Linked DNA regions of Callithrix jacchus. The protein of the gene in region 4 interacts with the protein of the main gene of each other region in a pairwise test. Links are inferred from orthologs where the notes say so. Each region holds a gene or a part of one and is shown on either strand. Other genes may lie near its edges.

Region 1 (6,212 bases), on a different chromosome or scaffold from region 4:
ACCATAAGGTGGGCTTTAGCTAAAGACACTTTTACCCTTTCAAAAAGACAGCATAAAACAAGTATGTCGTCGCCTGGTTTGTATGGTTTTGTGGAAGGAAATATGGTGGTGGGGGAATCCATAAAAATGGCTCCACTTTGGCCGGGCACGGTGGCTCATGCCTGTACCAATCCCAGCACTTTGGGCAGCCGAAGCAGGCAGATCACAAGGTCAAGAGATCAAGACCATCCTGGCCAGCATGGCAGAACCACGTCTCTACTAAAAATACAAAACTTAGGTAGGCGTGGCTGCACGTGCCTGTAATCCCAGCTACTTGGGAGGCTGAAGCAGGAAAATAGCTTGAATCAGGGAGTTGGAGGCTGCAGTAAGCCGAGCTCACACCTCTGCACTCCAGCCTGGTGACAGAGCGAGACTCCATCTCAAAAAAGAAAAAAAAAAAATGCTCCACTTTTTAAAGAGTAGGGTAATGCCACCTTGTGGAGAAACGTTAGCAGTATAGCTATGTTCTCATAGTCAGCTTCGAGAATAAGGGTTAAAAAAATATGTTAAAAATTATCATTTCCACTGGCCGGGCACGGTGGCTCACACCTGTCATCCAAGCACTTTGGGAGGCCGAGGCGGGTGGATCACAAGGTCAGGAGATTGAGACCATCCTGGTCAACATGGTGAAACCCCGTCTCTACTAAAAATACAAAAATTAGCTGGGCATGGTGGCGCGTGCCTGTAGTCCCAGCAACTCAGGAGGCTGAGGCAGGAGAATTGCTTGAACCGAGGAGGCGGAGGTTGCAGTGAGCCGAGATTGTGCCACTGCACTCCAGTCTGGCGCCTGGTGAGACTCTGCCTCAAAAAAAAAAAAAAAAATAATTATCATTTCCTTCAAATAGTCACATACTGCACTGGATAATTTGGCAACTATTTATTGGGTGATTGCTATGTGCCAAATAACACCATTTGGTCCCCCAATTAGAGAAGAACATGTGGAATCAGAAAACAATCGTATCTTCCAAGATGCACACTTGCCATATTAGGAAATATGGAGCTGCAGCACATTGTTTTGGTGTCTTTGTGATCATAAAGTCATATTCACTTACTTGGCCACACACAGACCTACAGGAACATTAATGGTGGCTGTTAATGACCAAAGACCACCCAGGTGGGAAGGGGGTGGGTAATGAAGAGAAGATTAAAAACAAATGAGGAAAAATAAATGGCAGAAGAGCAAAGGAAAATGAAGAGCAAAGAGAAGTCTGATTAGAAGGAGAAAGGCGTGGAGTGCAGGCGAGTGATGGGTGCACTCCAGAACCTGGTGTACACCTCCCAGGTGAGGGCACCTGGCCATGCTGTACATGCAATTTATGACAGCACATTAGGATGACTTTTATGCTCAAAAGTTGGTTTTAAGACTAAAGCACGTGTGCACTTTATAAATGTTACTTTCAAAATGTAAAGTGCATTTTTTAACCTGTAGCGTCAATCTGACATGGTAAATGGTGAAATATAAAACAGTTTCATTTTTCAGCGGTACAGGTAGCGAAACGACTGACTCACCCTGAATTTATACTGTGTGCTTCTTTTGAGATTTTTCACAGTACAGGTTAAATCCTCTCCAGTGTATTTTGGGTGGAAAAGGTTATCCTGAAAAGGCAAAGCCAGGAAGAAACATCAGTCTCAAAAATTCTGGGCATTAAATACCTTCCTTTGAATGTGGGATTTTTATCCTGTCGTCATCAGCAACAGGCCAAAGGAATGTCAGCTACTGCAAAAGAGAAAAATCAGAAGCCCAGACTACTGTGGATAGCACTTGAGCTTTAAATAAAAATTCATCTCCATCACACCGTAATTTCTCCTGGGTCCGGTCAAATTTATTGTGACAAAGGAGTCAAGCACTTTTTGAAAACACATTTAACCTTTTTAATGTTGTCATGAAAAAAGCCCTTTGTACTGAGGTCTTTACTATCAAGCTGCCATGTGCTACGCAGTAATGTGTGGCTGAGCTTCCTGACCACACAGTGCCCTCTTCTGGCCAAGAGAGAAAGGACAGCTTAGATGGGAAAGGGCATAATCCTTTAGGAGGGCAAGCATCCCACTCAAAGTTGAATCCAGGAAACTCATTCAATAGTTCTATCTCTATTATTCGATCGTTCACTCATCAAAATACTACTCAGCCCCTTCTCTGCGCTGGGCTGACCTCCAGGCTCTAAGGATTCAGCACTGCCCAAGAACTTTTAGAAAGGCCTTGCCCCACAAGCAGCTTGCATTGCAGTAAGAAAAGACAATACAGAAAAGCCCCTACGTATGTCACGTGGCGTTAAGTGCTATGACAAAAACTAAAACTAGGTAAGAAGGTATGGTGGTGGAACTAGTGACGGCTTTCTACAGCTGCTGGAGGTAAATATGGTAGCCACATGTGGCTCTTTGAATGTAAATTTATTACAATTAAAAACAGTACTGTGGTCCAACAAGCCCTATGTCAGAGGCTTGAGAGTCACAGGTATACAGGTGCCACCATACTATATGGCACAAATTCTAAAATATTTCCATCACTGCAGAAAGTTCTATTGGACGGTGCTGTTCTACAGGGTGATCAGAAAAGGACCATCCAAAGAGATGACATTTGAGAGTGGACCTTTAGGAAATGAGGGAAGGCAGGCAAAGATATCTGGAAGGGCATTCCGGCCAGAAGGCAGGAACTGCAAAGGCCGTGAGGCCACAGCAGACGTGGTGTGTTTCAAGAACAGACTAGAGGCTGATGAGACTACAGGGAAGGAAGGAGGACGGTAACGGAGAACACAGTCACACAGGACCTTGTGGCCATTGTGAGACCCAGGCTGTGTGTGGAGAACAGACTGTAGCCTAGTAAGGATGAAGTCGGGAACATTAAGTGGCGATAATCCAATAATCACGTTGTATTATTGCAACAATCCAGGGGCGAGATGAAGGTGGCTCATAAGAGAGTAGCAGCTGTGGAGATGATAAAAAATGGTTCGTTTCTAAATAATTTCCAAGGAAGATTCGAAAGGATGTTTCTGTCTGATTATATATGGGGTCAAGGATGACTCCAAGGATTTTTGCTTCCCCAGCTGAAAGGATGGAAATGTCATTTACAGAGATGGGAGAGAACAGGCTGCTGTTGGTCGTGGTGGTGACAGGCATCGAAATTAAGAGTTTGGTTTTGAACTTCTGCAGCGAATCTACTTTCACAGTGCCCTGCAGCTATAACAATGTTGATTTCTACAAAACACCGAGAAGCATAAAATCTGCAAAACTCACATTTTCATCCTCCTGAATTTCCAAGGTGTAAGTGATCACCTCCTCGGGTGAACAGCCCTCTGGTTTACTCCACTGCAATGTGACCCATGTGATGCCAGCTCGAACCAGCCTTGGCGCAGAAGGCATCTGAGGGATGTTTCCTAATGTGTAGCACACCACCTCTTGGCTGTAACCACTGCAGAGAAACAAAGTGAGGCACACAGCTAGAAGCATGTGAAGAGGCTTGGCGTTTTTAAAAGAGGAAGGCTCAGCAGGCACACTATCCAACTTAGTCTAGCAAAGCCAGGCAAGGATCCTTTGTGTGATATTCCCTGCAATCACCCTCAGCTTCCCTATCCCCCCACCAGCGATCTTCTAGACACACACATCAAGTCACAGGACAATACACAGTTGGCTCTCTGTATCCCTGGGTTCCACATCTTGAGTCCACGTGAATGAAGTGATGTGTAGGCATTATATTGGATATTACAAGCAAGTTAGAGAAGATTTAAGGAGGGAAGGATGTGTGCAGGTTATAAAATACTAGGCCTTTTTTTTTTTTGAGACAGAGTCTCACTCTTTCGCCAGGCTGGAGTGCAGTGGTGCGATCTCGGCTCACGGCAACCTCCACCTCCCGGGTTCAAGCAATTCACCTGCCTCAGCCTCCCGAGTAGCTGGGACTACAGGCGTGCACCACCATGCCCAGCTAATTTTTGTATTTTTAGTAGAGACATGGTTTCACCATGCTGGCCAGGATGGTCTTGATCTCTTGACCTCGTGATCCACCCACCTCAGCCTCCCAAAGTGCTGGGATTACAGGAGTAAGCCACTGCACTCAGCCTAGTATGCCACTTTATATCAGGGACTTGGGCATCCATAGATTTTGGTATCCATGGCAGGGAAGTGAGGGAAGTCCTGAAACCAATCCCCTGTGGAAACTGAAAGACAATTGTACTTAAGAATTCATTTCCCCGCTCCCAGCAGTTTGGGAGGCTGAGGTGGGCAGATCATGAGGTCAGGAGATGGAGACCATCCTGGCTAACACAGTGAAACCAGTCTCTACTAAAAATACAAAAGGAGCTGGGCATGGTGGCATGCGCCTGTAGTCCCAGCTACTCTGGAGGCTGAGGCAGGAGAATTGCTTGAACCCAGGAGGTGAAGGCTGCAGTTAGCCGAGATCGCGCCACTGCACTCCAGCCTGGGTGACGGTGTGTGATTCTGTCTCAAAAAAGAAAAAGAAAAAGTCCCCCCACCTTCTCCCAAAAACACTGGACAGAAGTCATAGCATAATGCAATGTTTATCAATTTATGGGTCAAGGAAGCTTCAAATCAATGTGAGCAACAAATATTGGTGGATGACATAAATGTTTTACCAATATATACAAGTGCTGTTTTTCCAAAGTTTGCGGATGCTTCCAATTCTTTTAAAAAATCTTGAGCCACAGAAGGCTTTATCAGTATGACTTTTTCAACCAGTGAACTCTACAATTATAATGGCTACCATGGTGGCGGAGGCAGGTCTGTAAAACTTTGTGATGTTAAAAAGCCTCTTTAGGTTGGAAAGAAGGTTGGAGACCACCGACGTGCAAAACCTTTAAGAAGATTTCAACAAGCAGTGATGAAAGAAAAAGATTTTTCCCTTAATCAAGAGTCACCCTGCAAGTGCAATTGAAACGTGGCCTTTCCAAAGCCTCTTTGGTCAATTGATACCTTACAGTACACGAGTTCCTGCCTTTCTCATACAGCCTAGAGGCCTGCAGAGGCCTCCAAGACAGTCCAGGTTTTCTCCAATTCTGTATCCGCCCTGGGCTTAACAACAATGGCTGGCCCAGCAGCAATTTCTTTGTACCCGGAAACTCTCACATAATTGAAAAAGGGCAACTGAATGAAGGGCTTGCTAAAGTGATAAAGAGAAAAAGGCATGTGATCTAAAAAAAGTAAAGCCCCAAGAGGAATTCCTTTCAATTCCTTACTGCTACCTTTACCTTGATTCTTAGAGGCCTGGTGGGGTCTTCACAATACAGCTTGCAAGACTGCAGAGGCCATAGTGACATTCACCAGCTTAGAGGGGGCCTTCACCCCTCAGATTAGGGTTCCCTCCTAGAAAACCTCAAGTTGATTTAGTGTGGAGGCGGTGGGGTTCCTCATGCCTTCCAATGACGTACAAGAAGGCTCAAGGTCACCATCCAAAGGCTGAAGGGCAGGAGGGCAAGGAAATGTCATACCTGGTGCCAATGTCGTTTCGAGCAGCCAGCCTGAACGTGTACCCCATTGCCGGACAAAGCTTTGTCAACTTGCAGTGTTTCTGGCTCCCAAAGAAGCACTGTCTGAAACCACTGTTCCTTTTTCCCTAAAAGCAAACAGTGAAACCATGTACATACTTTTTTAAAAACCAGATAACCCTAAACAAGCGAAGGAGCATCTTGAACATCTTGAATAATTGTTTAATGAGCAATAGTTTGAATGAATAAAAACAACACAACCTTATAGGGAAGTGTCCGTGTTGCCAATAAAGTATTCTACAATGAAATCTCATCTCTGACATAAAGGCACTACAGAAAATTCTGTCACTGAGACAGGCAATTCTCAATGACATTCTGCGGTGTATATATAAAGTGGTTTTTTGGTTAACAAAATCAAATAGGGTCCTTTTAGGCACAAGATGATGCTCCAGTTAAATATCACAATTTCTAAGATCCTCTTCCTTAACTGGATTGGCCCAAACTTCCCGGTGTGATCAACCAGAAGTCTGACTGCATCCACACAGAGGTCTCTGGCTCTGAAAATACACAGCCTTTCCCAGTAAACTCCTGAGCACATAAGGACCCATCTATGCAGCTGAACGTGCCATACAAAGCCTTCTCTCCAGCTATATCCCTCGTGCCATGCAGTAGCCTCTGATACCATCGAGAGTACATTCTAGTGATGGTGAGCTGCTTCTTCGCTGATCACTGACACTAGTC
Region 2 (6,212 bases), on a different chromosome or scaffold from region 4:
ACACAGCAAGACCCCATATCTACTAAAATGTTTTTTTCTTTTTTTAAATTAGCTGGGCATGGTGGTATGCACATGTGGTCCCAGCTACTAAGAAGGCTGGGGTGGGAGGATCGCTGGAGCCTAGGAGGTCAAGGCTGCAGTGAGCTATGATTGTGCCACTGCATTTCAGCCCAGGGGACAGAAAAACGTTGTCTCAAATTGTTTTTTAAAATGCCCAAAGCAATTCAAACCATTACCTAGTTTATCTTTTTTGCTTGTTTTATTTTATCTGAACGTCCAAAATAGCAGCTATTTCATGACTATTTTCAACTTGAGTTGGAAGGAGGCTCTGTCCCATTTGAGTGTTCTCAAATCCTAGATGGAAACACTGGTAGAGAGTGGCCTCCACCACCAGGGGGAGCTCTCAGCTGCAGGCTGAACCTGCTGGACGCCCAGCAACTTGGGCAGTGAAAGAAATGGGCTGTGGAATAAATTCATGGGGTCGAGCTAGGAACCTGGAAAAGGGTAGACGGAAGGAGCCTGTGTAAATTAAGAGAATTAACCACTCTTCCAGTTTCTCCCATGACTCATCTTGGCTACAGCTGACTTTACCCCAAGCCCAGCAGGTGACCTGGGACAGCCCTGACTTCTCAGATTGTATTAACCATGCTTTTATTTTCTGATGCTTTGATATTTTAGTGTCTTGTGGACCCCAGAGGTATAGTCCCTTCTAGGGTTAGCTAATTCCTAGAGATTTCAAAGAACTCACCGGGGAGCCTGACTTTCATATGCAAATCAACCAGCCAACCAGTGCAGCGCCCACGCCCCAAGTGCCCCCTCTATTGGCCCATTACACTCAGGGCTGCTTTCTACCTGTCTCTTTCTTTTACATGGAGTCTCTGTCGCCCAGGCTGGAGTGCAGTGGCCCGATCTCAGCTCACTGAAATCTCTGCCTCCCGCGTTCAAGCAATTCTCCGGCCTCAGCCTCTCAAGTAGCTGGGCCTACAGGCGCATGCCACCACGCCTGGCTAATTTTTGTATTTTTAGTAGAGATGGGATTTTAGCATGGTGACCAGGCTAGTCTCAAACTCCTTACCTGTGGTGATCCACCCCCTTCGCCCTGCTAAAGTGCTGGGATTACAGGTGTGAGCCACCGTGCCCGGCCTTTCCACCTGTACTGGTCACCCCAGCACCAACCACCAGACAACTAGGGACAACCCCTAGGCCCAGGGCACACTGGATTCGTCCACTCTAGCCAATCCTAACCCTGCTTACCCTGCACCCCACAAAACCACAATACAGGCTGCTGCTTGCCACGTTTCCCCTCACTTCCTCTACCTCCTGACCCACGTGGTGCTTCCCCAGGTGGCCCCCACTTTATGGTGTTGAGTGCCCCTTCCTCTTGGGATCAGAGTATAACAAACTATCCCTTCAAAGAGTTGTCTCCTGATCTGTCGGCCTTATCATACCTAAATAATAGTAAGACATTATATATATGTTGGAGACAGGGTCTTGCTATGTTGCCCAGGCTTAAGTGCAGTAATAGTCACAGGTTCAGCCACAGCTCACTCCTGGGCTCAAGTGATCCTCCTGCCTCAGCCTCTGGAGTAGCTGGGACCAAAGGCATACACCACTGTACCCCACTAATAAGACGTATTTTCCAACATGGATGCTGCCATGGGATGTGATTCTTTTGGCAGCTAACACCCTCACTCCAAAGGCATCTTCTGTCTTTTCCTGGTAAGAAAAAGTACGGAATGACCACTAGGACCTGAAGTCCGGCAGCTTTTCCTAATCAGGGTCCCACATCCCAACAACAGAATTCAAAAAATAACCAGAGTGGTGAGTTTCTGAATTGTCTCAAGGACTCCTTCACTAGCATTTCTCTCCAGGCGTGGAGGTTCATTCATTACACACAGCAGAGTCCCCGGGCAAGTGGGGCTTACTTTTTCTAGAGAACAGAGTGGGGAAAGGCGGTGTCTGAGGTCTAGGTGTAACTGAGGACCCTCAATCCTGCCTCACAGAAATAACTCATCTTGCCGGGAGAGGAGGACGGCATCATGGTGTGGTTTCCCATCCCTGCGCCACCGGGGCCAACGTTACCTGGGCTCGGTGCTCCCCAACGGCGAACTGTATCACGGCCATGCCCGGACTATGGCTGTCTTCGATCCTCTCCACCGTGCTGGAGTCGATCTTCAGGTCGTTACTTATCTCTGCACTCTGGATGAAATCTTCCGTTTTTAAGTCTTCCACCTTCTTCAGCTCCCCGTTGGCCAACTGGATAATGGAGCCTTTCATGAAGTAGGGAGGCAGCGTGGGGGGAGCCGCTGCGGGGGAGGCCACAGACTGCACCACGGGCAGGTGGATCTGGGCCTGCACCATGGCCGGGTAGGCGGCCTGGGTGACCAGGGCCTCCGGGTTGAAGTTCTCGCTCTTGGGAAGGGCGGTGGTGACAAACGTGTGAGGCACTGCAGCAAACTGGGGGGACGACGTGACGATGGCTGGAGCTGCCCCCGACGCTTCCATGTCAGTGCTGCCGACCGGGATGAGCAGGGGTTGTGTGCCGGGGATCACCAGGTGCTGGGGCAGGCTGCCGGCGTAGGTGATCGCTTGCTGCTGGCCGCTCAGGTAGCCGATGACAGGGGGTTGAGTCCCCGCGTAGAAGGCTGTGGCTGGCAGTCCCACCGGGAGTGGCTCTGAAGCACTGTGTGTGGTCTGAATGACCGTGTGGGGTGAGAGCGCATAGGACCGGTGGCCCGGCTTCCCTAAGTGCAGGCCGCTTTTGTCGTTGAGGGTGGAGGGGGAGGCCTCGCGATGAGTGGCCTGCTGCACCTCCAGGTCGGCCGCGGGCGTGCTGCTGTTGGGCAGGACCATGACAGAGGCCCGGACCCCCGAGGGGTCACGACTGCTGTAGTCGGAGGGGCTCGGGTGGACCACCACGTGCCTGGACTCGTACGGGTGAGGGACCGACTTGCCACCCACCTTGCCCAGGCCCAGGTCGGCTGAGGACGGGGCCCCGTACCGCCGGCCCTTCTCCATCTCACCATTCAGGACCTCCTTGGCCTGGATGGCCTGCTGCAGCCGGCTGCTCTCGGCTTTCTTGGTGGCCTCCCGAGGGACAAAGTGGCTGCCGGAGTCGGCGTATTGCATGACGACCTGGGAGGGGGGGCCCAGGGTGAGTGTGTGTGGGATCATCGTCTGATGGGGGTGGAGGTGGACGGGGATGGCTGGAGGAGAGGCGGTGCGGCCGGTGCTCTGCGGAGAACTGGAAATGTGGACGTACTGGCTCTGCTGGGCGGGTGGGGGGGACCCCGGGGTGATGAGCCCCGGAGCCCTGCTGAGGTGCTGCTGCGGCGGTGGCGGCTGCTGCGGCTGCTGCTCAGCCTTGTGTCCCGGCGCCTGGCTCAGACTGCCCATGTTGGCCAACAGAGTGGAATAGGCCTCCAGCTGGGAGCGCTGGGATGGAGTGGTGGCCCCTGCAGCCGAGGCCACCGCACTGGTGACGGGGTTGGCGGTTGGGGGGATCAGCTGTGACGGGATGAAGCTGGCGTAGGTCCCGCTGTACTGGGAGGACCCAATGAACTGGAAGGTGTGTGGCAGGTGAGCATACTGCACGGGAGACACCGGGGTCCCTGGCTGTGGGGTGGCGTACGCGGCGGGCAGCGTGGTGGCCACGGGGACAGACCTGGGCGCGCTGGGTGGGGAGTAGTCCAGCCCTGTGGACAATGCTTTGTGTAAACCTATTCCCTGTTGTAAACCAAGCTCCGCTGAGGTCCCTGCCGGCCCGTGCCTCCCGCCCCCGTGGCCCCGGCCACCAGGGTTGCCCGGCAGCCATGCTGCGCCCTCCACCCGGTGGTTGTCGCTGGGCAGGGCGGGGGCCTTCTCCTCGCTGGACCGGCTGGTGGCGGGGATCTCGCGCTTCTTGGGAGGCAGGCATTCGTTGCTCCGCTCTTGGTTGGATTTCATTTTTCGCCGTCCCCCCTCCACGGTGACTGTTTCACTGTCTGGCTGAGTCTGGTTTTAGTCTGATAAACGGAAAGTCACATTTGATTTCTGTAGGGGATCCAGGCTCTTCATGAGGAATCATCTCCCCGTGGGTACGATCGGCCAGCCGCAGCTCTGGATGCTGGGAAAGGGAAGAGGGCAGTGACAAGGGGAAAAGGAAAGAGAGGAGAAAGGGAAGGAGGGAAAGGACATCAGAACATCAGCACTGGGGAAAGAACATCCTTGGCAAGATTAAGACTAGGCCCTGGACTCAGTGCGATCTCCCCAAACCCGAGGGCAGCCTGAGCACTGAAGCAGGTAAAACTCTAGCCATGGTGGCTGCACGCCCGAAGGAAGGCTATGGAGACACTAGCCAAGCGAACACTCTAACACCTATACTGTTTTTTTTCCTTTTTTGAGACAAAGTTTTGCTCTTGCTGCCTAGGCTGGAGTGCAGTGGCACGATCTCGGCTCACTGTAACCTCCGGCTCACTGCAACCTCCGCTTCCTGGGTGCAGGTGATTCTCCTGCCTCAGCCTCCCGAGTAGCTGGGATTACAGGCATGTGCCACCATGCCCAGCTAATTTTGTACTTTTAGTAGAGACAGGGTTTCTCCATGTTGGTCAGGCTGGTCTTGAACTCCCAACCTCAGGTGAGCCACCCACCTCAGCCTCCGAAAGTGCTAGGAGTACAGGCATGAACTACTGTGCCCAGCCCACATATACTTCTTAATGGAGTTAACAACTCCTCTAAAATGTTCTCAATACTCTCTCTCTCTCTCTCGCTCTTTTTTTTTTTGCCTTTTCTTCTTAGAGGGTAGATGATGCAGTTCTTAAATTTCCTTTTCAGAAATGCTGGTTCCATTCCTCACCTCTCCTTTACCTGGCTGGATAATAAAATGAAGCCCTTAGTGAGCAGGACACCAGCTGAGCCCTGCCCTCAGAGCCAGGTGTTCAGAAAAAGCAGGTCAGCAGAGAATGTACAGAGCAGTCCTTGCACTTTATTCTGAATCTTCACCTGCCAGAGCCACTACTCTCTGAGATTCCCCTTAGCTCTGGGTCCATAATGGACCTACGATTCCCTCTCCCTTAATACACACACACACACACACACACACACACACACACACACACGCCAACTCAGCAGGGGCTGCCAAAAATAATCCTGTTCTCTGCAAGTTTCAAAAGAATTCCCAGTACGGCCACTCACATAACAGAGTGAGACAGTTAAAAACCAAATTTGATTATGGTTAAAAAACCCAAATACCATATAAAAATAGGGCTCCTGCATTAAAAGTTTTCTTTTTTTTTCCTTTTTGAGATGGAGTCTCTCTCTGTCACCAGGCTGGAGTGCAGTGGCGTGATCTCTGCTCACCGCAACCTCCGCCTCCCGGGTTCAAGGGATTCCCCTGCCTCAGCCTCCTGAGTGCTGGGACTACAGGCGTGGGCCACCATGCCGGGCTAGTTTTTGTATTTTTACTAGAGACAGGGCTTCACCATGTTCACCAGGATGGTCTCAGACTCCTGACCTCATGATCTACTCACCTTGGCCTCCCAAAGTGCTGGGAATGCAGGAGTGAGCCCGCAACCGGCCTGAAAGTTTTCTTAATGAGTTACACGCTTGGTGTGTCTGTCTCTTTCTGCCTCTCCAAGTTGTCTCTGAAGTTTCCCTTGACACTGTCCCCTCCCTTTCTCCTTGGAAAGGAACAACTCGCCATGAACACTAGAGACGACACCCCTTTCGGACAAATCAGATTGGTGTGTTGAAACCCAGACAAACAGTGATTCTGGGGTCAGCAGTTCTTATGGACAAGTATCTCAGTCTCTTACTAACCACCGAGGTCTGAGTTACCGCTGCCGTGTTGGCACACCACTGCCCAACTGACAAGAGGCCGAACCGTCAGTGGAACTGACAAGAACCAGGCTAGTGAGCAGCAGAAGTGAGTGATTCCACAGGTGGCGGCTATAGGTGGGCACAGTGCCATGTGCTGTGATCCTGAGAGCTGTGGGGTTGGGTTTTGGGATCTCACATCCAGACCCTCTTTTCAATGATCTGATTTTCTTTCTTTCTGTCTTTCTTTCTCTTCCTTTCTTTGGAGCAATGGGTCTTGCTATGTTAATCAGGCTGGTCTTGCACTGCTGGCCTCAAGAAAGCCTCCTTCCTTGGCCTCCCAAAGTGCTAGGATTATAGGCCTGAGCCACTGTGTCTAGCCAATGCTCTGATTTTAAAACAAACACAATAACGTAGCA
Region 3 (6,838 bases), on a different chromosome or scaffold from region 4:
TCCACAGCCACTCCCGACTGCTCTGTGACAGCACAGAGTGCCCTTAACGTCTCTGGGACCACCGCTTTCACTCCCGTGTGCTGTTCGGACAGGGAATTGTATGATCACTGTGATTCAGAGGGGGCCCCAGCCATTGGTTCTTTCTTCTCTGGAGCTTATCTGCCCCTACCTTTGCTGTCCTGACCCCTACCATTCCCCAGACCATATTCAGGCCCCATGCTCTGGTCCCCTGGGCCTCTGGTGGCCTTTGGGAGGGGCCCGGCTGCTCACCTCAAGGGGCAGCACTGGCAGCCAGAGAACCCTGAGGACCTCCATCCCTCCCTTGCCCCATCAGACACCACAGGCTGGGGTGTGAGCCCCCGAGGGGCTGGCTACCTGTTTGGCAGTGATGTGGTGGCCCAGTTCAACGCAGCCAATGACATTGACATGATCTGCCGTGCCCACCAACTGGTGATGGAAGGTTACAAGTGGCACTTCAACGAGACCGTGCTCACTGTGTGGTCAGCACCCAACTACTGCTACCGGTGAGCCGGCTGGGCCGGGCTGGGAGGGATGGACATCTGAGCCCAGCTGCTCCTGACCCTGCCGTCCTGCCTTCCAGCTGTGGGAATGTGGCAGCCATCTTGGAGCTGGACGAGCATCTCCAGAAAGATTTTATCATCTTTGAGGCTGCTCCCCAAGAGACACGGGGCATCCCCTCCAAGAAGCCGGTGGCCGACTACTTCCTGTGAGCCCCTGGCCCCTGCCCCCTCCAGCCCTTCTGGCCCTCGGACCACTGTGACTCTGCCTCTTCCCCAGATGGAGGCTGGGCGTGGGCGGAGGGCTGTCTCCAGCTCTGCTCTCCCCCAAGAGGGTGCTTTGAGGGTGAGGACTTCTCTGGAGAGGCCTGGAGACCTAGCTCCATGTTCCTCCTCTCCTCTCTCCCCACTTGAACCATGAAGTTTCCAATAATTTTTTTTCTTTTTTTCCTTCTTTTTTCTGTTTGTTTTTAGATAAACATTTTGAGAAAAAAAAAATGAAAAAAAAAATTCTAATAAAAGAAGAAAAATGATCTTTGGGTTTGTGCCAGACAGACTTGGTTGGGGATGTGCAGGGTTGCTGGCCTGGGACCTCGGGAGGACGTCAGGGCCTTGACTGCCTCAGGGCCCGGACCTGGCAGGAGGGCCTGACTCAGGCCAGTCAGCTTACCCAGGGCCTCCAGGGGCTGCTGTCTGCTGGCCTCCCCAGCGCTAGGGAGAGGCTCACTTCTCATGGCAGCCTTATTAATGACTGACAACATGAGATTCTGATTTCTCCAAAGAGGAGATGGGCATAGAGAGCCAGTGGATTCTGTGCTAGGTCAGGCAGCTGGAAACACAGGTTTAGATCTGGGCCTGGGTCTTCTAGCAAAGCCTTTGTTCACCCTGCCCCGCCCAGGGCCAAACACATGAGCCCAATGTTTCCTTAGCACGATGGCTCTTGAATTTTATTAACAAAAATACTCTGGTCCCAGAACAGACTGGTGTGGCCTGCACCAGTGGTGTTGGGGGTGGTGGGGACTGAGCCTCCCAGAGTCCATGGAGAGGCCTGAGAGGTGGGGATGCTGGTCTGTGGCCCCATTTGGCCAGGCAGAGTCCCCTCCATTCACACAGAGGTGAGAGGCGGGAAGGGGAAGCTGGCCCCAGCTGGACTCCCAGCAGCCTTGGTTGGGCTTTGAAGCCAGAGGGGGGTGGGAGTGAAATCAAGGTGTGAAGTTGGGGGGTGGGGGGCATGCCCAAGGCAGCCATTTGGTGTGGGGGATGGGGCCGGTGGAGGTGAGGGGGCTCCAGGGCTGGGGGAAGGGAGCAGGAGGTTTATGATGGAGGCAGAAGGGCCCAGCATTGGCTCAGTACATGGGTTTGGAGCCCACATCCAGGTAGCCCCCAGGCCCAGGGTATGGTAGAGGGAAGGGGCCCCCTTGGAGAAAGTGGGGGGCAAAGGGTGTTGCTGGCGGAGCCGCTGGGTACCCAGAGGCCCCTGGCCCAGGTGGCAGCTCCAGAAATGCAGCTGAGTAGGGGGCTGAGCGCCCAGAGTCTGGAGCCTCCGGGAAGCTGGAGCTCCTGACATGGAGAGAGGGATGTCAGAGCAGGGCAGAGGGACCCGCAGCACCATCTGGTCCCCTGTCCTACTCACCTGGTGGGAAGGTGACTGGGAGCCCCGTGGAAAGCTGCAGGGTGCAGGAGGTAGGCCTCGGCACTGGGGCCACCGCACGGAGGCACCGGGACAGTGGTGGCTTCCCCCAGGGCTAGGGCCTGCTCTGGATCTGATTCACGAATGTCTCCACCCAGGGTGGAGTCGCAGGGACCACCTGGGGTGTCTAGGGAAAGGGAAGGGAGAGGTTGGGCTACGGAGGATCGGTGTCTCGGGCCTGGCCCCATCGCCATCGGGACTACACTCACCTCCGCTCCCACAGGCCTCTGTGGCTGCTGGCTCTGGGCCCCGCAGTTTCCTCTTCACACGGGCGTCTCGCTCCCTGGGGAACAGTGGTGGTGATGATGATGATGATGATGGCCATGGTCGTAGTAATAAGTACTTAACCAGTGCCAGGCATTTCACCCTCCCAGGGACCCTGTCAGGTAGGGGCCATCATTATACCCATTTCACAGATGAAGAAACTGAAGGCCAGAAAATGAAATAAGTAGAAAGTGGCAGAGCTAGGATTTAGTCCCTGCTGAAGCTTCCATGCTTTCCTATTGTGTTTAGTATCAATGGAAACTCCTTCCCAGCAAAAAGACCAGGGCATGGTCTCACCCAGCTCATCTTTCTGCCCCATCTCCACTCTCAGCCTCTCTTTGGAACCCTCTTCTGTCCGCTCTTCATCTGTTAAATCTTTTTTCTTTTTTATTTTTTGAGACGGAGTCTCCCTCTGTTGCCCAAATTGGAATGTAACCTCCACCTCCTGGGTTCAAGCAATTTTCCTGTCTCAGCCTCCCAAGTAGCCTGGGATTACAGGCACAAGCCACCATGCCCGGCTAATTTTTTTTATTTTTATTTTTATTTTTAGGAGTTTCATCATGTTAGGCATCTCAAACTCCTGACCTCAGGTGATCCACCTGCCTCGGCCTCCCAAAGTGCTGGGATTACAGGCATGAGCCACCATGCCTGGCTTTCTTGTCATTTTTAAAATTTGAGATGGGGTTTTACTCTGTTGCCCAGGCTGGAGTGCAGTGGCACGGTCACAGCTCATTGCAGCTTCCAACTCCTGAGCTCCAGTGATCCATCTCAGCCTCCCAAAGCACTGGGACTACAGCCATGAACCACCAAACCCATCCTTGTCTCAGTGCAAGCACAGGTTCCTCAAGGAAGTCCTCCCTGACCTCTGAGAGCACATACCCCACCCTCGTAACATCTGTCACTGTTCCACTTTTGCATTTGATGGAGTGACTCCTTGGTTCATGTCTGTCTCTTAAGCTCCTTGAGGGCAGGGGCCAACTCTGAGGGGCTGTACTTAGAACAGTTCCCATGGCCTTACTGAACCTTTACTATTCAACATAACCTGGCTTTCCATCCCCTACCTGACTCCTCACCCACTCCCCACTCATGCCACGCTGCAGGCACAGTCCCACCTCAGGGCCTTTGCACATGCTGTTCCCACTCCCTAGTATGCTCTGCCATATACCCACCTGGCTCCCTCCTGTACTTCCTTCAGCTCTTTTTCTTGTGTCCTCTTACCACTGAGGCCTTTCCAGGCCTCTAATACCTCACCCCAGTCCTTCCTATGCTTCCCTGATTGATTTCTCTTCTTTTTTTTTGAGACAGAATTTCACTCTTGTTGCCCAGGCTGGAGTGCAATGGCACCTGACTCACTACAACCTCCATGTCCTGAGTTCAAGCAATTCTCCTGCATTAGCCTCCTGAATAGCTGGGATTACAGGCATGCATCACCACACCTGGCTAATTTTTGTATTATTAGTAGAAACAGGGTTTCACCATGTTGGCCAGGCTGATCTCGAACTCCTGACCTCAGCCGATCCACCCGCCTCGGCCTCCCAGAGTGCTGGAATTACAGGCATGAGCCACCACGCCTGGTTTCTCTTCTCTTTAGCTTCCTAACAGACCACATTTGATTTATTTCTCTTGTCTGCTCTCTCCACTAGAATGTCAGTTCCATGAGGGCAGGGGCTTTGGTTTGCTTTGATTTCTTTCCAGTTCCTGGAAGTGTCCCTGGCACAAAGCAGGTACTAAATAAGTATTTGCTGAGTCAGAGAATGAATGTTTTTACTTACCACTGCATTCCACTGTGTCCAGCACAGAGCCTGGCACACCATGAGCGATTAATAAACATTTGTTGAATGCATGAACGAGCGAATGAATAATGCCCACCTCTTACAGTTTCTGCCGTTCTCCCGGAAGCCTTTGGCAAAGGGATTGGCTGCAATCTTCAGTTGTGTGATCTGGGAGCACACGTCCAGGGTCAAAGCTCCTGTGGCCTGGGCAGGGCGCCACCACCCCCTCAAGCAGGGGCACTCACCCGTGGGTTCTGGTAGGCTGTCACAGAGATGAATGTGGTCTCGGGGAAGCGGAAGGAGGCCATACCCCCCCAGTGCTGGCTGCAGAGCTGGGCTGCTCGAACCAGATGTATGCGGGGCTGGTACTTGTGCATGGAGTGCAGGATCAGCTGGGAGGGAAGAAATGGGAATGATTCCCTGCCCTGTGCCTCAGCCTTGACCTCTCTTCTAGCACCCCCATCCCCTATCCTGGAGTCCCAGCCTGGGCCTCACGTGGCCGTGGGGATCCAGCGTGCTGTTGGTGAGCTTGACACGATGGAAGGACACAGGCTGCCGCATCCAATGGGCACCCGTGGCAGGAGAGTCGGGGTGAATATAGACTCGGTCAGGCAGGCGGGGCTCTGCCTTGCCGCTGGGCTCCCAGCGCCGGCCCTGCCAGCGGTAGCGAGCCCCGTCCACTGGAACCACATCCAGAAGAAACAAGTAGCGGGCCTCCGGGTCCAGGCCGGTGACTGACACTCGGCAGGCAGGGAACATGCGCCTGTGCAAGGGAGGGAACAGGAGAGGCCTGGAGCTACCCACTGGCCAGGGGTGAGCCCAGCACCAGCAACAGGACATAGCGGCAGGCTCCCCAGGGCTGTCAGAGAAACATCCAGGGTGGTGGAATTAGAACCCAAAGGGCAGGCTGGAGGCGGTGGCTCATACCTCTAATCCCAACACATTTGGGAGGCCAAGGTGGGAGGATCTCTTAGCCCAGGAGTTCAAGACCGGCCTGGGCAACATAGTGAGACCCCATCTCTAAATTTTTTTTTTTTTTTGAGACGGAGTTTCCTTCTTGTTACCCAGGCTGGAGTGCAATGGCACGATCTCGGCTCAACGCAACCTCCGCCTCCTGGGTTCAGGCAATTCTCCTGCCTCAGCCTCCTGAGTAGCTGGGATTACAGGTACGCGCCACCGTGCCCAGCTAATTTTTTGTATTTTTAGTAGAGATGGGATTTCACCATGTTGACCAGGATAATCTCGATCTCTTGACCTCGTAATCCACCCTCCTCGGCCTCCCAAAGTGCTGGGATTACAGGCGTGAGCCACTGCACCCGGCCTCAAAAAATTAAAAAATTAGGCACTGTGGTGCACACTGATAGTCCCAGCTCCTCTAGAGACTGAGGCAGGAGGGTCACTTGAGTCTGGGAGGTCAAGATTACAGTGAGCCATGATTGCACCACTGCACTCCAGCCTGGGAAACAAGGCAAGATCTGTCTCTAAAAAATGAAAAAAGGTCTAGGTGTGGTGGTTCATGCCTATAATCCCAGCACTTTGGGAGGCCAAAGTGAGAGGATCAAGAGGTCAAAAGTTTCAGACCAGCCTGGCCAATATGGTGAAACCCCTCTCTACTAAAAATACAAATATTAGCTGGACATGGTGACATGCGCCTGTAATCCCAGCTACTTGGGAGGCTAAGGCAGGAGAATCGCTTGAACCCTGGAAGCGGAGGTTGGGGTGAGCAGAGATCACGCCACTGCACTCCAGCCTGGGCAACAGTCTCAAAAAAATAGTAATAATAATAAAGGAAAAAAGAACCCAGAGGGCAGAATCTTAGAGCTGGAAGGTTTTCTTTCTCATTTTACATTTGGGGAAACAGGACAGATGGGTTAGGTGATCTGTCACACGGCAGGTTAGGGACAGCCATGATTCCTACCCTTCAAAGCCTATTTACAGAAGCAGGGGTGACTAACTTTTCTCCCTGAAATGTTGCCAGGAGCTTCGTGTCCCCACCCTCCTCTCCTCCCCTGACTCCAACACCAGAATCTGCAGCTTTTATATGAACTTCCTTCAGAAAAAATATGCTGCCTGCAGTAAGGCTGAGGATTTCCCGTGCTAGGGCTTGAGCTCCTGCCCTAGATGAAGATCTCGACTCAGGCTACACACTGACCACATCCCTGCCTTTAGGGTGATCCTGAACCTAGTCATATACTGACTCCTATTCAAGGCGCATACTGACACTGAACCTCGACATACTGACTCCTACTCAAATCGCCAGACTTCCCTGATGCTGGTCACTGGGCTGGCCCTTGACCCCCTGTCCTTGTCTGAACGCTGATCTAGGCCACACACTAACCTATAAGCCAGCGGGACTTCCTGACCCTGCCCCAGACTGACCTATGACTCTTGCCATAGATTGGTCCCTAAACTCAGCCACAGACTCCACAGACTGACCCTTGACCCTTGTCACAGAATGACTCCTGATTCCAACCACAGAGTACCCCCTACCCCCAGGCCATAGATTCTAAGCCTAGGCAGAGCTCTACCCCCTTAGAGAACCTCCCAGACCTATCCCCCTCCCCAGGGACTCTGCCTTTCCCAAGAGACCCCCC
Region 4 (5,900 bases):
ACAGCCTCCACCTCAGAAAGTTCGAATCAATTTACAGCAACAGCCACCTCCTCTGCAGATCAAGAGTGTACCTCTACCCACTTTGAAAATGCAGACTACCTTAGTCCCACCAACTGTGGAAAGTAGTCCTGAGCGGCCTATGAACAACAGCCCTGAGGCCCATACAGTGGAGGCAACTTCTCCTGAGACTATCTGTGAGATGATCACAGATGTAGTTCCTGAGGTGAGCCTCTATTTTTAAGTCTGTCTTCTAGTCTAGTAAAAATGTGTAAGAACATTTTTGGTTGACCCAATCAAAATGGGGGTTGCTTCAGCAAAAACTTGGTGTGAGGAAGGAAGGGAGGAAGGGAAGGAGGAGAAGAAAGAGAAAGAAAAGAAAAATAGATAAATGGGGGTTGCTACTAGCATTTAATGCCCAGCAACCAGCAGCACAAAACATCCTGCAGATGGGAGTTCCTTACAACAGTGACTTGTCTCTACCACGGTACCCATAGTGTTTTCAGTGAGACACATTAAGACAGTCTTCTGTCCCAGACCACTCCTTAACTAAGCAGAGGAAACTAGTTCAACTAGACAGGATATAGCCTAAACAAGTTACTTTTCAGAGTTGTTTACCCAAGGATCCTAAACTTTAAAAATACGAAGCTTTTCATTTCTCCTAGATCTTAAGTTCCTTCTTAGCTTGATGTTTTAAATGTGTGGGGCAGGGGATATAGCAAAAAAATTTTAACTGGTTCATACCATTGGTTTTTAAGAGAAACATAAATATGGCCAGGCATGGTGGCTCACATCTGTAATCCCAGCACTTTGGGAGGCAGAGGTGGGCAAACCATGAGGTCAAGAGATCGAGACCACCCTGGCCAACATGGTGAAACCCCAACTCTACTAAAAATGTGAAAATTAGCTGGGTGTGGTGGCATGCACCTGTAGTCCCAGCTACTTGGGAGGCTGAGGCAGGAGAATCACTTGAACCTGGGGAGGTAGAGGTTGCAGTGAGCCAAGATAATACTGCACTCCAGCCTGGTGACAGAGTAAAAAACACACACACAAAAAAAACCTTTCAGCAGGAAACTTTATGAATCTCCCTCTTTTTCCTGTTTCTAACAGCACCACATTTTGACTTCTCATAGCCTTCATCTAACTTACTTGAGGTGACTTAGCCTCTACTCACACTCTAATTTTGATTTGATACTGTCAGGAATATTAATGTGTGGCATAAAGCCATTGACAGGTTAGATTAAAATTAAAAGACCACTACCTTTCCACTCCCGCTACTTCACTTGATTAGCCAGGCTTAAGGGGAGAAAAAAGCATTAGCATATGCCCAGCTTTCTCCTGATGGGAAGAATCTTCATGTCATTCAGCTTGGCAAAGTTCTGAAGTGGGACTATTGAGGGGGAGACCAAAAACTCACCTTCTGCAGTTTTACCCCCACTGTGAGGACTTGTAATACCTGTTGTTTCATTGGTTTCTACAGATAATTTAACTAGCTAGCTAGGCAGGGAGCAATCTAATCCACCTTGATGCTCTCTTCCTCTCGTAGGTTGAGTCTCCTTCTCAGATGGATGTTGAATTGGTGAGTGGGTCTCCTGTGGCACTCTCACCACAGCCTCGATGTGTGAGGTCTGGTTGTGAGAACCCTCCAATTGTGAGTAAGGACTGGGACAATGAATACTGCAGCAATGAGTGTGTGGTGAAGCACTGCAGGTGAGCTTACCCTTCCCCTTCTTGTAATTCAGAACTGCTAAATTAATTTTATTGGGAAACATGGTAATCTTGAGCATAAAATAGAGTAGGTTGCTGTTTATCTGGTCTACTAGAAAAGCTCCCCTGCTTAAGACCTTACATTTGCCACATAGGCAAAGGTGACATGATCAGCAGTTCACATTTTTCAGTTACCACATACCTATGTATGCCCTTTAAAAACAGGATAGGCCGGGCACGGTGGCTCACGCCTATAATCCCAGCACTATGGGAGGCCGAGGCGGGTGGATCACGAGGTAAAGAGATCGAGACCATCCTGGTCAACGAGGTGAAACCCTGTCTCTGCTAAAAATACAAAAATTAGCTGGGCATGGTGGTGCGTGCCTGTAGTCCCAGCTACTCGGAAGGCTGAGGCAGGAGAATTGCTGGAACCCAGAAGGCGGAGGTTGCTGTGAGCTGAGATCGTGCCATTGCACTCCAGTCTGGGTAACAACAGCGAAACTCCGTCTCAAAAAAAAAAAAACATTATAATAGGCCAGCTGTGGTGGCTCACGTCTGTAATCCAAGCACTTTGGAGGCCAAGGCAAGTGGATCACCTGAGGTTGGGAGTTCAAGACCAGCCTGACCAACATGGTGACCCCGTTTTACAAAACAAAATATGATAATACATTAATCTGTTAGTGTATACAAATACTAGCTTTTGAATCCTTAGTGCAAATCAGACTATTTAGGGAATTAGAATTTGGGGAAATGGTAAGTGGAATAGTAGCACACAGTAATTTGCTATTTGTGAGGGAAATTGGAGAAGTTCATAAGATTTTACCCCTCTCCCCAGATTCTCCTGGGAATTACCTATAGCTATAGGACAAGGCATTTCTATTTCCTATTTCAAAAACTCTACAGTAAATCAGCATTCCCTCTACTGACAATTCTTATATTTCTGATGTGACACTATGTCACTATGATGCTGCAGAAAATTATTTGGGAACCTAATTGTTTAAGACAGATAAAAAGAATATATCTAGGCTATAATTCTGTTTGTGTATAATTCTGTTTGTGTATGTCTTTTTCTCTCTTAGGGATGTATTCTTGGCCTGGGTAGCCTCTAGGAATTCAAACACAGTGGTGTTTGTGAAATAGTCCTTCCTGTTCTCCAAGCCAGTGAAGAGTTACCTGCTGGGAACATGTCCAAGAGCCTGTTTTTGAAACACAAGCTGGGCTTCTAGTAGTGCCTGATCGCAACCCATGATGGCTGTTCATGTTTCTCCACTTTTCTCCCTTCAGCAGAGGCCACGCTATGGAGCAGGGCCACTGAATTTGCTGTAATCTGGAGATGCTTTTTGCTTTCAACTAGAAGCAAAAATACTAGTGGTAATAGCAGAGGAATGGGTGAAGGGAGTATGGGCAAGCAAAACATAGAGATGGTAAGGGGTGGTGGTGGGGTTGAAGAAACTTGTTGGTATAATTGTCATAGGACTTGCCTAAAATATTATTAAAATGATGGGAGAGTACTCAGCTTTGAGCCTAGGAGAAAACGCCACTGTGTTCATCCATTTTAAAAGGGGTAAGAAATTACAGTAAAGGTTTCCTCTTAAAAAAAATTGTTATTCCCCATTATCACATCAGTACACTGCTTTGAGAACAAAACTTTAATACAGGCATATTGGGCTACATGGAAAATGATATCACCCAGGAGGTTCTTACTACTCTTTACAAATGTTATTTCTGTAGTTACCATCCTTACCTGAGTTATCACAGTTTATGAATCTAAGAGGTAGAACTCTACATCCTTAAGAAATATCTTTAAGAAACCATAGATCTACCATTATTTATTGGAAACAATCTAAAGAAAAACAGACTAGAGAAGCCACCTACTTGTGAGAGAGTAAGTGATAACCTTAAATGGAACTCAAATTTTTACTTTTGAGAAATGCTGTCCTAGAGAACCTCCTCCTCAACGAACCATGTATATATTTATTACTAATTAGTTTGATCCTGTGCATTCCTGTGTTTTTAATGGTTTTAGAGGCTGGGAGTAGAGATGGGGTCTCACTATGTTGCCCAGGCTGGTCTTAGAACTCCTGGGCTCCAGGGACCCTCCACTTCAGCTTCCCAAAGTGCTGGGATTACACGTGTGAGCCACTGCGCCTAGCCTATGATCATTTTAATGTTTCCCATGCACTTGTTTTGTTTGAACACTCACAGCAACCCAGTGAGGTAATACTCCCATTTTAAATATAAGAAATACTACTGAGAGATGAGTTGCACAAGAGTACACACTGATGAGTGGCAGAGCCAGAATGGACTTCAAAATCTCATCTACAATACAAATGTTTATTTAAATAAAGAAGAAAGCTATTGTACAAATACCACTCTTGAGGTTTGGTTTACACAGCCATCACTATGGATTCTTAGCTGTATAAGGAAGTGCTTCTATAAATTCTTAGGTTTAGAGATGATACCATCTGGGTACCTTTGCTTGAACCGTGCAACCACATCTGGGTCTAGTAGGTGGATCCCATCCAGTTGGTTTCCAAGGGTGATCCTGAAATGGGAAAAGGAGGGGCAAACCAGAAATCCTGGAATTAGTTAATATTGTTAAAAGATGCATACCAAATGAAGACTGCCTATCATATCAAATATACCAATTCTTCTATAAAGAGCTTAACATTACAATAGTATATGGTAGAATGAGTAGTTCAGAATTGACATCGATTCTGGTGTTAAAATAGACTGGATCTGAGCTGGGCATGGTGGCTCATGCCTATAATCCCAGCACTCTGGGATGCTGAGGTGGGCCTATCACTTGAAGTCAGGAGTTCAAGACCAGCCTGGCCAACATGGTGAAACCCCGTCTCTACTAAAAATACAAAACATTAGCTGGGCACAGTAGTGCACACCTATAATCCCAGCTACTCAGGTGGCTGAGGCAGGAGAATCACTTGAACCCAGAGGAAGAGGTTGCAGTTAGCCAAGATCTCATCACTGCACTCCAGCCTGGGCCAACAAAGCAAGACTCCATCTCTCAAAAAAAAAAAAGACTGGATCTGTATTATTGGATGGTTAGTAACTAATGCTTAGTCAGGACAGAGTTGCTGCACCAGGGAGTATTCTTTGGATAAGCAAAATGCTAGCAGCATGTGTTTTAAGCTCTATTAACGGGGTGAAAGATAAAATAATTGATTACATAGATAACTTCATAACCACCAGGGGGCAGATTCAATACATCACATAGAATGGCTGAGGAAGATCCTTAGGTTATCAGAGTAGAAACCCTAGGGAGCCGTGCTTTGGATCCTAGAACCTGTTGAGTTTTAATGAATATTTGTAAAATCTCATAAAACAATTTAAATACAAGCTTAAGTGGCTTATGAATCCTCTGATGCTCATTTATAGACTCATGGAATATAATGTGAAGTTCTACTAAGTTCTGTATTTAATCATAAATAGCCCCTTGAAGACTAGTTTGTTCTCTGGTCACATTTCTGAATTTAATCATAAATAGCCCCTTGAAGACTAGTCTGGTCTCTGGTCACATTACCAGTTGGGTTGCACATTATGTGGTCGTCCAAATAACTCAATCTTGCGAGTGCCAGGAGATAGTCTTTCAATCATGCCATAGATTTCATCTGGTTTATGACTGGTGGAACGAACCTAGGAGATAAAAACTAGCTGCTTTTTAAGTTACATAAGATTGCAATCCTAGCCCTTTCAATTACGTTTATGATCTAAATGGAAAAAATCTGGATGAGAATACACCTGACATGAATAACTGATACCAACAACAATGTGGAAGCTTTGGAGGCCTGGGGAAGCACATACCTCAGCTACGATCACATCACAATCCAGACCCTGGTTGAAGCCTTGGGGATTTCCTTTGACACCAACCTGCTACCACAGATAACAGATTACCTTATGAAACCACACCTTTTGAACTTTTTCTCAATAAGAAATCAAATGATTGTTTATGCTCCATCTATTGAATCGGGCCCCACTGCTGCTCACCAAGCAGTGTTCCTTCCCATGGTTCAACCAGTGACCTGTACGGCCTGTCCGAATGATGCGTTGCAGTTGATTTGTCTTCACCCAAATAATTTCATCTACCCGTTCATACCTGTGGGGAATAAGAAAAAACTAGAGTTTTAACCAAACTTTTACAGTGCGGTTAAAAGGGGTAATACCATAAAGCAAGGAAT
Region 5 (6,212 bases), on a different chromosome or scaffold from region 4:
ATGAGTTGAATTAGCCTGGGAAATTCACTATTCATGACTGTCCCATCTCCTGTGGAAGAGAAAGGATAATGCCCCACCTAAACGCGCCAGCATTTTCTGGAAGCCTTCCCCCTTGCAGACAATGTGCTGAAGCCACAGGAGACGAGAGCTGCACCCCGCTCTCAGTACTAGAGGACCCTGTTCCCAGGGGGCACACGATGACCACTGACCTCAGAGGTCCCGAAGGGGCTGGCGCAACTAAAAACATCAGCAGTGTCTAGTGACACAGGTACAATTTCTAGTCACCCAGCAAAGCTTCTGAAAAAGTCTTCCTTCTCTGCCACCCCCCTACTCTTGTGCCACAAAATTCAGAAGGTGTTTGTAGAGGGACCTCACCCGGGAGTCAGTCCCTAGTTCATCAGGCTGGCTGCAGCTTGGGCCACAAAACCCTGAGAGAGAACTCCACATAGGCAAGGCAGGGCACTGACGTGCTGCTGGGGTGTGTCTGCCCAGCCTGGGTGTGCTGAGAAACCCCGAGGGAAAGGCTGCATGGGAACAATGGCCTCAAGCTTTTGCCACTGATCCTAGAAGGAAGTTACCTTCTTTCCCTCAGTAAGAAGACGCCTGCGCCTCTGAACTGAGTGTTGTTACGCTGCTTCCCAGGAGCACAGCCTGGCCCTCGCAGCTCATCGCCCAGGACCAAGGTGAGCTGAGCGAATGCCTGCACCCCACCATGTGCCTCAACCCCTAGGTACTGCGGCAGCTGCCCACATCTGCAAAATGCAAGAGCTCACAGCCACGATCGCCTCTCCTTTAAATGGGGTCCCTATGCCTCCTCCCAAGCTATCACTGTGCTCCCAAAACGCAGCGGTGGCCCGCCCCACCGCCCGCCCTGCCCGAGGTGCATGGTGGGGAGGGTACGTACTACTTGCACCTGTCCGTCTTCTCCTATCTGGTGGATCTGCACCTGCTGCGCGTTGGCCAGGGCGTAATGCAGCGCCTGCGGCTGCGGCTGTGGCTGCGGGAGCTCGCTGGTGGGCGGTGGGGTACTCATCATCGGCTCTGTGGGGCGACAGGTGCGAATGAGGTGAACGAGAAGTTTCTTAGGCATCGCTTCCGGCAGCACATGGGCCCCCGCACCCCTGTCCATCCCTCACTCTACTCCCACAGCAGAGAAGAGGAAATGCTTCATTCCTCCTTCACTCGCACCGCCTCCACTCTTCTGCAGAGGTCACTAAGAGAGCGTCTTAGGAGCTGAGGCTTCCCACATGGAACGCAGATGGGCTGAGTGGAGTGACGCTGCCATGACAAAACCCCTTCTAGTCCCAACTTATTCAAATGAATGAAGTTCTGCAAGTGGACATCAAAAGCTGTTTCAGGCCGGCAGTATCTGTCCATGGGTAATTCAACTAATAGGGAAAAAACCTCAGCCACGCACTTAAAGCTACATTTCCAACAAATGTATGTGCTGTGTTTAATCAAAACAAGAATGTGCTTTGATGTACTGCATATTTTCGTTATAATGATACCGCAATCATAATTTTCTTAAACACTTAGAATATTAAGAGCACAGAAAAGCTTTTAATTTTCAACGCATACACATAATTTTCTTGCAGAGAATTATGACAACTAACAAAAAAAGTTAATGCATAGACACGTAATAAGGGCTGGGCACAGTGGCTCACGCCTGTAATCCCAGCACTTTGAAAGGCCAAGGCGGACAGATCACCAGAGGTCAGGAGCTTGAGACCAGCCTGGCCAACATGGTGAAACCCCATCTCTACTAAAAGTACAAAAATTAGACGGGTGCGGTCGCGTGCGCCTGTGATCCCAGCTACTCAGGAGGCTGAGGCGGGACAAGCACTTGAACCCGGGAGGCAGAGGCTGCAGTGAGCTGGGATGGCAGCACTGCACTCCAGCCTCGGCAACAGAGCAAGATTCCGTCTCAAACAAAAAAAAGCAGTAAGATGAAATTCTGCGAGAGAAGTCGAACGCTGATATGAATGCATGGAGAAAAACAAAAACCATAAAATTTCTGATGATTAAAGAACGTGGGCCACATGTGGTGGCTCACCTGTAATCCCAGCACTCTGAAAGGCTGGGGTGGGTGAATTACTTGAGGTCAGGCATTTGAGACCAGTCTGACCAACATGGTGAAACCCCATCTTTACTAAAAATACAAAAATTACACAGACATGCTGGCAAATGCCTGTAGCCCCAGCTACTTGGGAGGCTGAGGCAGGAGAATCGCTTGAGCCCAGGAATAGGAAGTTATAGTGAGCCGAGATCACAGCACTGCACTCAGTTCCGGGCAACAGAGTAAGACTATCTCCAAAAAAAAAAAAAAAGGTTTCCATGAGTTGTTCACCCATAGCTAATGGTAGGTATTAAATTGCCATAGTACACACGTTGCACTGAATACAATTTTTAAAGTAACATAATAAAATGTTTTTTCCTCTGGAGAGTTTCGCTCCGTTGCCTAGGCTGGAGTGCAAGTGGTGCGGTCTCAGCTCACTGCAGCCTCCGCCTCCCGGTTCCAACGATTCTCCTGCCTCAGCCTCCCAAGTAGCTGGGGCTACAGGCACCCACCACCACACCTGGCTAATTTATTTTGTATTTTTCGTAAAGACAGGGTTTCACCATGTTGGCCAGGCTGGTTTCAAACTCATGTCCTCAAATGATCTGCTTGCCTCAGCCTCCCAAAGTGCTGGGATGACAGCTGAGCCACCGTGCCAGGCCACATAATAAAATGTCAATAATCGCAACATGCTAGAAATTGCCCAGCTACCCTGAATCAGAATCCTACTTTCATGTAATTCAAATGTGGTCCACCTGCATGCTGAACGTGGGGAACTCAGCTCCAACTGAAGACCCTGACCCCACCTGAGCACCTGCAGAGATGGGCCATGTTATTAGAAGGTGGACCACCTGCATGTTGAATGAAGACCCTGACCCCACCTGAGCACCTGCAGAGATGGGCCATGTTATTAGAAGGTGGACCACCTGCATGTTGAATGAAGACCCTGACCCCACCTGAGCACCTGCAGAGATGAGCCATGTTATTAGAAGGTGGACCACCTGCATGTTGAATGAAGACCCTGACCCCACCTGAGCACCTGCAGAGATGGGCCATGTTATTAGAAGGTGGACCACCTGCATGTTGAATGAAGACCCTGACCCCACCTGAGCACCTGCAGAGATGAGCCATGTTATTAGAAGGTGGACCACCTGCATGTTGAATGAAGACCCTGACCCCACCTGAGCACCTGCAGAGATGGGCCATGTTATTAGAAGGTGGACCACCTGCATGTTGAATGAAGACCCTGACCCCACCTGAGCACCTGCAGAGATGAGCCATGTCCCAAAGCACCCTCCCCCAGGCCACGGCGCTTTGCTGTCCCCCTGAGCAGCTACAGAGCACTCACCAGCACAAGTGCTTGAGCAAGCCTTGTGGACCCCAGGAAGATGACAAAATCCCAGCTGGGCTGAAGCCCACCTCCCCGAACCTGCTGTTCCTTCACTGACCCTCCTAGGACCTGCAAACCCAACCTCATTCTTCACTGACGCATCACTTCTCCAGGCTTCTAACAAACCATTATCAAACCTTGTGAAATCTCCATTTCTAACCATTTCCCAAAGACAATGGCTTCCAGCCCACTGCCACAGTGATAGTCCGTCCCCACACAGCTCCCCTGGGGCCACAGGGCATACAAACTAAGAATGGGTGTGCCCCGGTGTGCACCTTCCAACCGCACGGGCTCCAAGGAGGCTCCTGCACACCACGCAGCCTCGCAGGCTGCTCCCGCACAAATGCTCTGAGCTCCATTTGCAGCAGTGGAATTGCACCGGGTTAAGTTTACCCCTTCGAGATCTTTCAGTGTCCTAATAACGCAGGCCGGCCCACCTGTCAGGTTACACAACAGCAGCTTCTTGCTCACTAAGGTCCTGGGAAGTCATTTAACCTGGGCTCTGGTTCCCCGTGGGATGGAACAGGCCGCTAACCTTGCCACACGCACGTACCTGAGACACACGGAGGGCAGGCCTGGCAGCCGCTCTCCTCGCCTTTCGAGTGCAGGAGCTCCAGGTGGTGTTATGTCTCCTTTCCTCTCCCTGCTGTGTTCCTTTCTCCTTCAGATCCTTGTATGTAATTTAATGGACTTCGATGCCCTGTCAGTTACTTCCAGGCAGGGTCTCCTTCCACTGACTGGCTTTTCTGATCCCAGGTCACATCTCCTGCTTCTTGGTACTCGTGACTGGATACTGGACACTGTAACTTTATTTTGCTGGGTGTCTAGGTTTGCTGTCTGTCTTGGAAAGCGCTGCTGCTGTGGTTCAGTGTGCTCCCTCTCAGGCTGTTTTAAGCCCCGCCTGTACTCTAGAGACAGCTGAGCCCCACCAGCAGGCAGGGCTGGCTACTGCAGTGACTGATCACTGCGGATTCTCCACTCTGGCTGCTGGGAATCCAGCCACCACCCAGCCTGGTGTGAGCTTAGGGACCCTTCAGCTCATGCCTGCTTTGGAAGTCCCCAAAGGCCCAAGGAGGCCCCTGGACAGACGCTGGAGCTCTTTTCTGTCTCTCTGCTTTTAAGAACTTGATTCCACAACTTGCAGCTGCCTCAGCCTTGCTCCTCTCCAATCCATCTCCTGAAGGCAGTGACTGTGCTGTGCTCTGCCTGGCACCCCCTGCTGCTCCAGTGGCACCCCTCCTCTCATGTTCCTTCCCTCAAAGACCACAGTCCTGCGCTGCTGCCTGTCTAACGTCTTAGGACAGCTGATTCATACATTTTTGTCCAGATTTCGATGGCAAGAGGATTCAATCTGGTTCCGGCTACTATGCCTGACCAAAGGCAGAAATCTCCCCTATTTTTGGGGGGGGGGTCCCCCCAGGCTGCAGTACATGGCGCAATCTCAGCTCACTGCAACCTCCACCTCCTGGATTCAAGAGATTCTTCTGCCTCAGCCTCCTGAATAGCTAATTTTTCTATTTTTAGTAGAGACAGGGTTTCACCATGTTGTCCAGGCTGGTCTCGAACCACTAACCCAAGGTGATCTGCCTGCCTCGGCCTCCCAAAGTGCTGGGATTACAGGCGTAAACCACCATGCCTGTCCTCTCTGGCTTTTAAATGGCATTTTTTAAAACTATAAAACTAATGCGGGCTTATTGGAAATAAATGAAAAACGATAATGAAAGAGAAAAACAAAAATTATCCTACTATCTAGAGACAGACACTGTAAGAATCATCACACATAGATTTTTAGTCAACTTCCACATATCTTTGTAATAGAAAATGGTAACCGACCCTAAGTCTAGTTCTCAGGTCCACTCTCTGCTGCCTCACTATGCATATTCAAGGGCGTAATTCAGGTCATGAGCAATATTCCCACAGCCCCATTTCCATGGCCACAGGTTACTGTGCTACACAGTATTTCAGCCAAGGCCTTCACCACATCCCAGGACTGCTGCCTCTCTACAGACCCAAGGCAGAATTCCTAATTGTAGCACAAAGGCCTAGAATAGAAGAGCTTCTTCACAACACACGTCTCCCAATAAAGCGCTGCTGTAGGGACACAACTGGTGTGGCCCACACCAGCCAGCCACCTCCCGTCCTCAAAGCCCTGGGCAGCAGCTGAGGCCGAGTATCTGATAACTACCAAAACAGCCCAGGAAACCACTTCCTGAAGCTTCAGGAAGAACGAGACGCCGGGAGAACGCCAGGGGTCTGGTCTGCCACTCACAGCACTTCCAGGACAAAGACTCCACTGAGTCGAAGAGTCGGCCCTGTCTACGCTGCCCTCACATCCTGACCCAGCCCCAGTCAGAGCTCCAGTTCCAGGAGCTGCTGCCACTGCAGCTACTGTGGGGACTTTTCAAAGAACACTTTGCATTCAAATACTTAGGACACTAATTTGAGATGCGGTGGGGGAAAGGCGCTGTCGAGTCACATTGCCATCCCTAGTGAAAATTCTCCTGGCGACGCCTGAGAGGTGACTGCAGGAGAACTGTTTCCACTACCTTGTGCTTAAATCCAACTAAGGCCATGAACTCAGAGTAAAAATAAAGCGCAGTTCAGAATCCAGCTGCTCCTCACCTGGGGTCACCAGGCAGATCACAATACAACGGCCAGCACCCACACACAAAGGCCTAGCCCTCCTCGCCCCGGCCAGAAGACTTCCAGGAGGCCCAACGGGCCCTGTGTCCCTCCCGGAGGAGCCTGGGGCGGGCCTGAGGCTGT

What was found. The genes of interacting proteins can lie anywhere in the genome.
Region 1: the proteins of TOX4 (region 4) and FNDC3B interact in binary tests that used the Homo sapiens proteins (3 or more experiments, as listed by UniProt). The two-hybrid records come from large-scale screens. The link is inferred for Callithrix jacchus from reciprocal best matches to the Homo sapiens genes TOX4 and FNDC3B.
Region 2: the proteins of TOX4 (region 4) and ATXN1 interact in binary tests that used the Homo sapiens proteins (3 or more experiments, as listed by UniProt). The link is inferred for Callithrix jacchus from reciprocal best matches to the Homo sapiens genes TOX4 and ATXN1.
Region 3: the proteins of TOX4 (region 4) and TBX6 interact in binary tests that used the Homo sapiens proteins (3 or more experiments, as listed by UniProt). The link is inferred for Callithrix jacchus from reciprocal best matches to the Homo sapiens genes TOX4 and TBX6.
Region 5: the proteins of TOX4 (region 4) and BANP interact in binary tests that used the Homo sapiens proteins (3 or more experiments, as listed by UniProt). The two-hybrid records come from large-scale screens. The link is inferred for Callithrix jacchus from reciprocal best matches to the Homo sapiens genes TOX4 and BANP.

Annotation. Positions count from the first base shown.
Region 1 is NC_133518.1:14,695,563-14,701,774, forward strand, and holds part of FNDC3B (fibronectin type III domain-containing protein 3B), read right to left. Parts: intron 5,600-6,212; coding exon 5,475-5,599; intron 3,446-5,474; coding exon 3,271-3,445; intron 1,636-3,270; coding exon 1,549-1,635; intron 1-1,548. UniProt on the Homo sapiens protein: May be a positive regulator of adipogenesis.
Region 2 is NC_133505.1:14,346,764-14,352,975, reverse strand, and holds part of ATXN1 (ataxin-1), read right to left. Parts: intron 4,106-6,212; 5' UTR 3,946-4,105; coding exon 2,083-3,945; intron 1-2,082. UniProt on the Homo sapiens protein: Chromatin-binding factor that repress Notch signaling in the absence of Notch intracellular domain by acting as a CBF1 corepressor. Binds to the HEY promoter and might assist, along with NCOR2, RBPJ-mediated repression. Binds RNA in vitro.
Region 3 is NC_133513.1:29,430,320-29,437,157, reverse strand, and holds the end of TBX6 (T-box transcription factor TBX6), read right to left. Parts: intron 5,008-6,838; coding exon 4,740-5,007; intron 4,637-4,739; coding exon 4,490-4,636; intron 4,413-4,489; coding exon 4,342-4,412; intron 2,492-4,341; coding exon 2,418-2,491; intron 2,336-2,417; coding exon 2,152-2,335; intron 2,079-2,151; coding exon 1,865-2,078; 3' UTR 1,439-1,864; downstream 1-1,438. Other genes in the region: PPP4C (serine/threonine-protein phosphatase 4 catalytic subunit), read left to right, coding at 335-524, 602-731. UniProt on the Homo sapiens protein: T-box transcription factor that plays an essential role in the determination of the fate of axial stem cells: neural vs mesodermal. Acts in part by down-regulating, a specific enhancer (N1) of SOX2, to inhibit neural development.
Region 4 is NC_133509.1:55,995,950-56,001,849, forward strand, and holds the end of TOX4 (TOX high mobility group box family member 4), read left to right. Parts: coding exon 1-223; intron 224-1,543; coding exon 1,544-1,707; intron 1,708-2,783; coding exon 2,784-2,844; 3' UTR 2,845-4,071; downstream 4,072-5,900. Other genes in the region: N(6)-adenosine-methyltransferase catalytic subunit METTL3, read right to left, coding at 4,138-4,249, 5,246-5,358, 5,527-5,595, 5,710-5,818. UniProt on the Homo sapiens protein: Transcription factor that modulates cell fate reprogramming from the somatic state to the pluripotent and neuronal fate. In liver, controls the expression of hormone-regulated gluconeogenic genes such as G6PC1 and PCK1.
Region 5 is NC_133521.1:45,664,362-45,670,573, reverse strand, and holds part of BANP (protein BANP), read right to left. Parts: intron 1,042-6,212; coding exon 905-1,041; intron 684-904; exon of another isoform or gene 593-683; intron 269-592; exon of another isoform or gene 1-268. UniProt on the Homo sapiens protein: Controls V(D)J recombination during T-cell development by repressing T-cell receptor (TCR) beta enhancer function. Binds to scaffold/matrix attachment region beta (S/MARbeta), an ATC-rich DNA sequence located upstream of the TCR beta enhancer.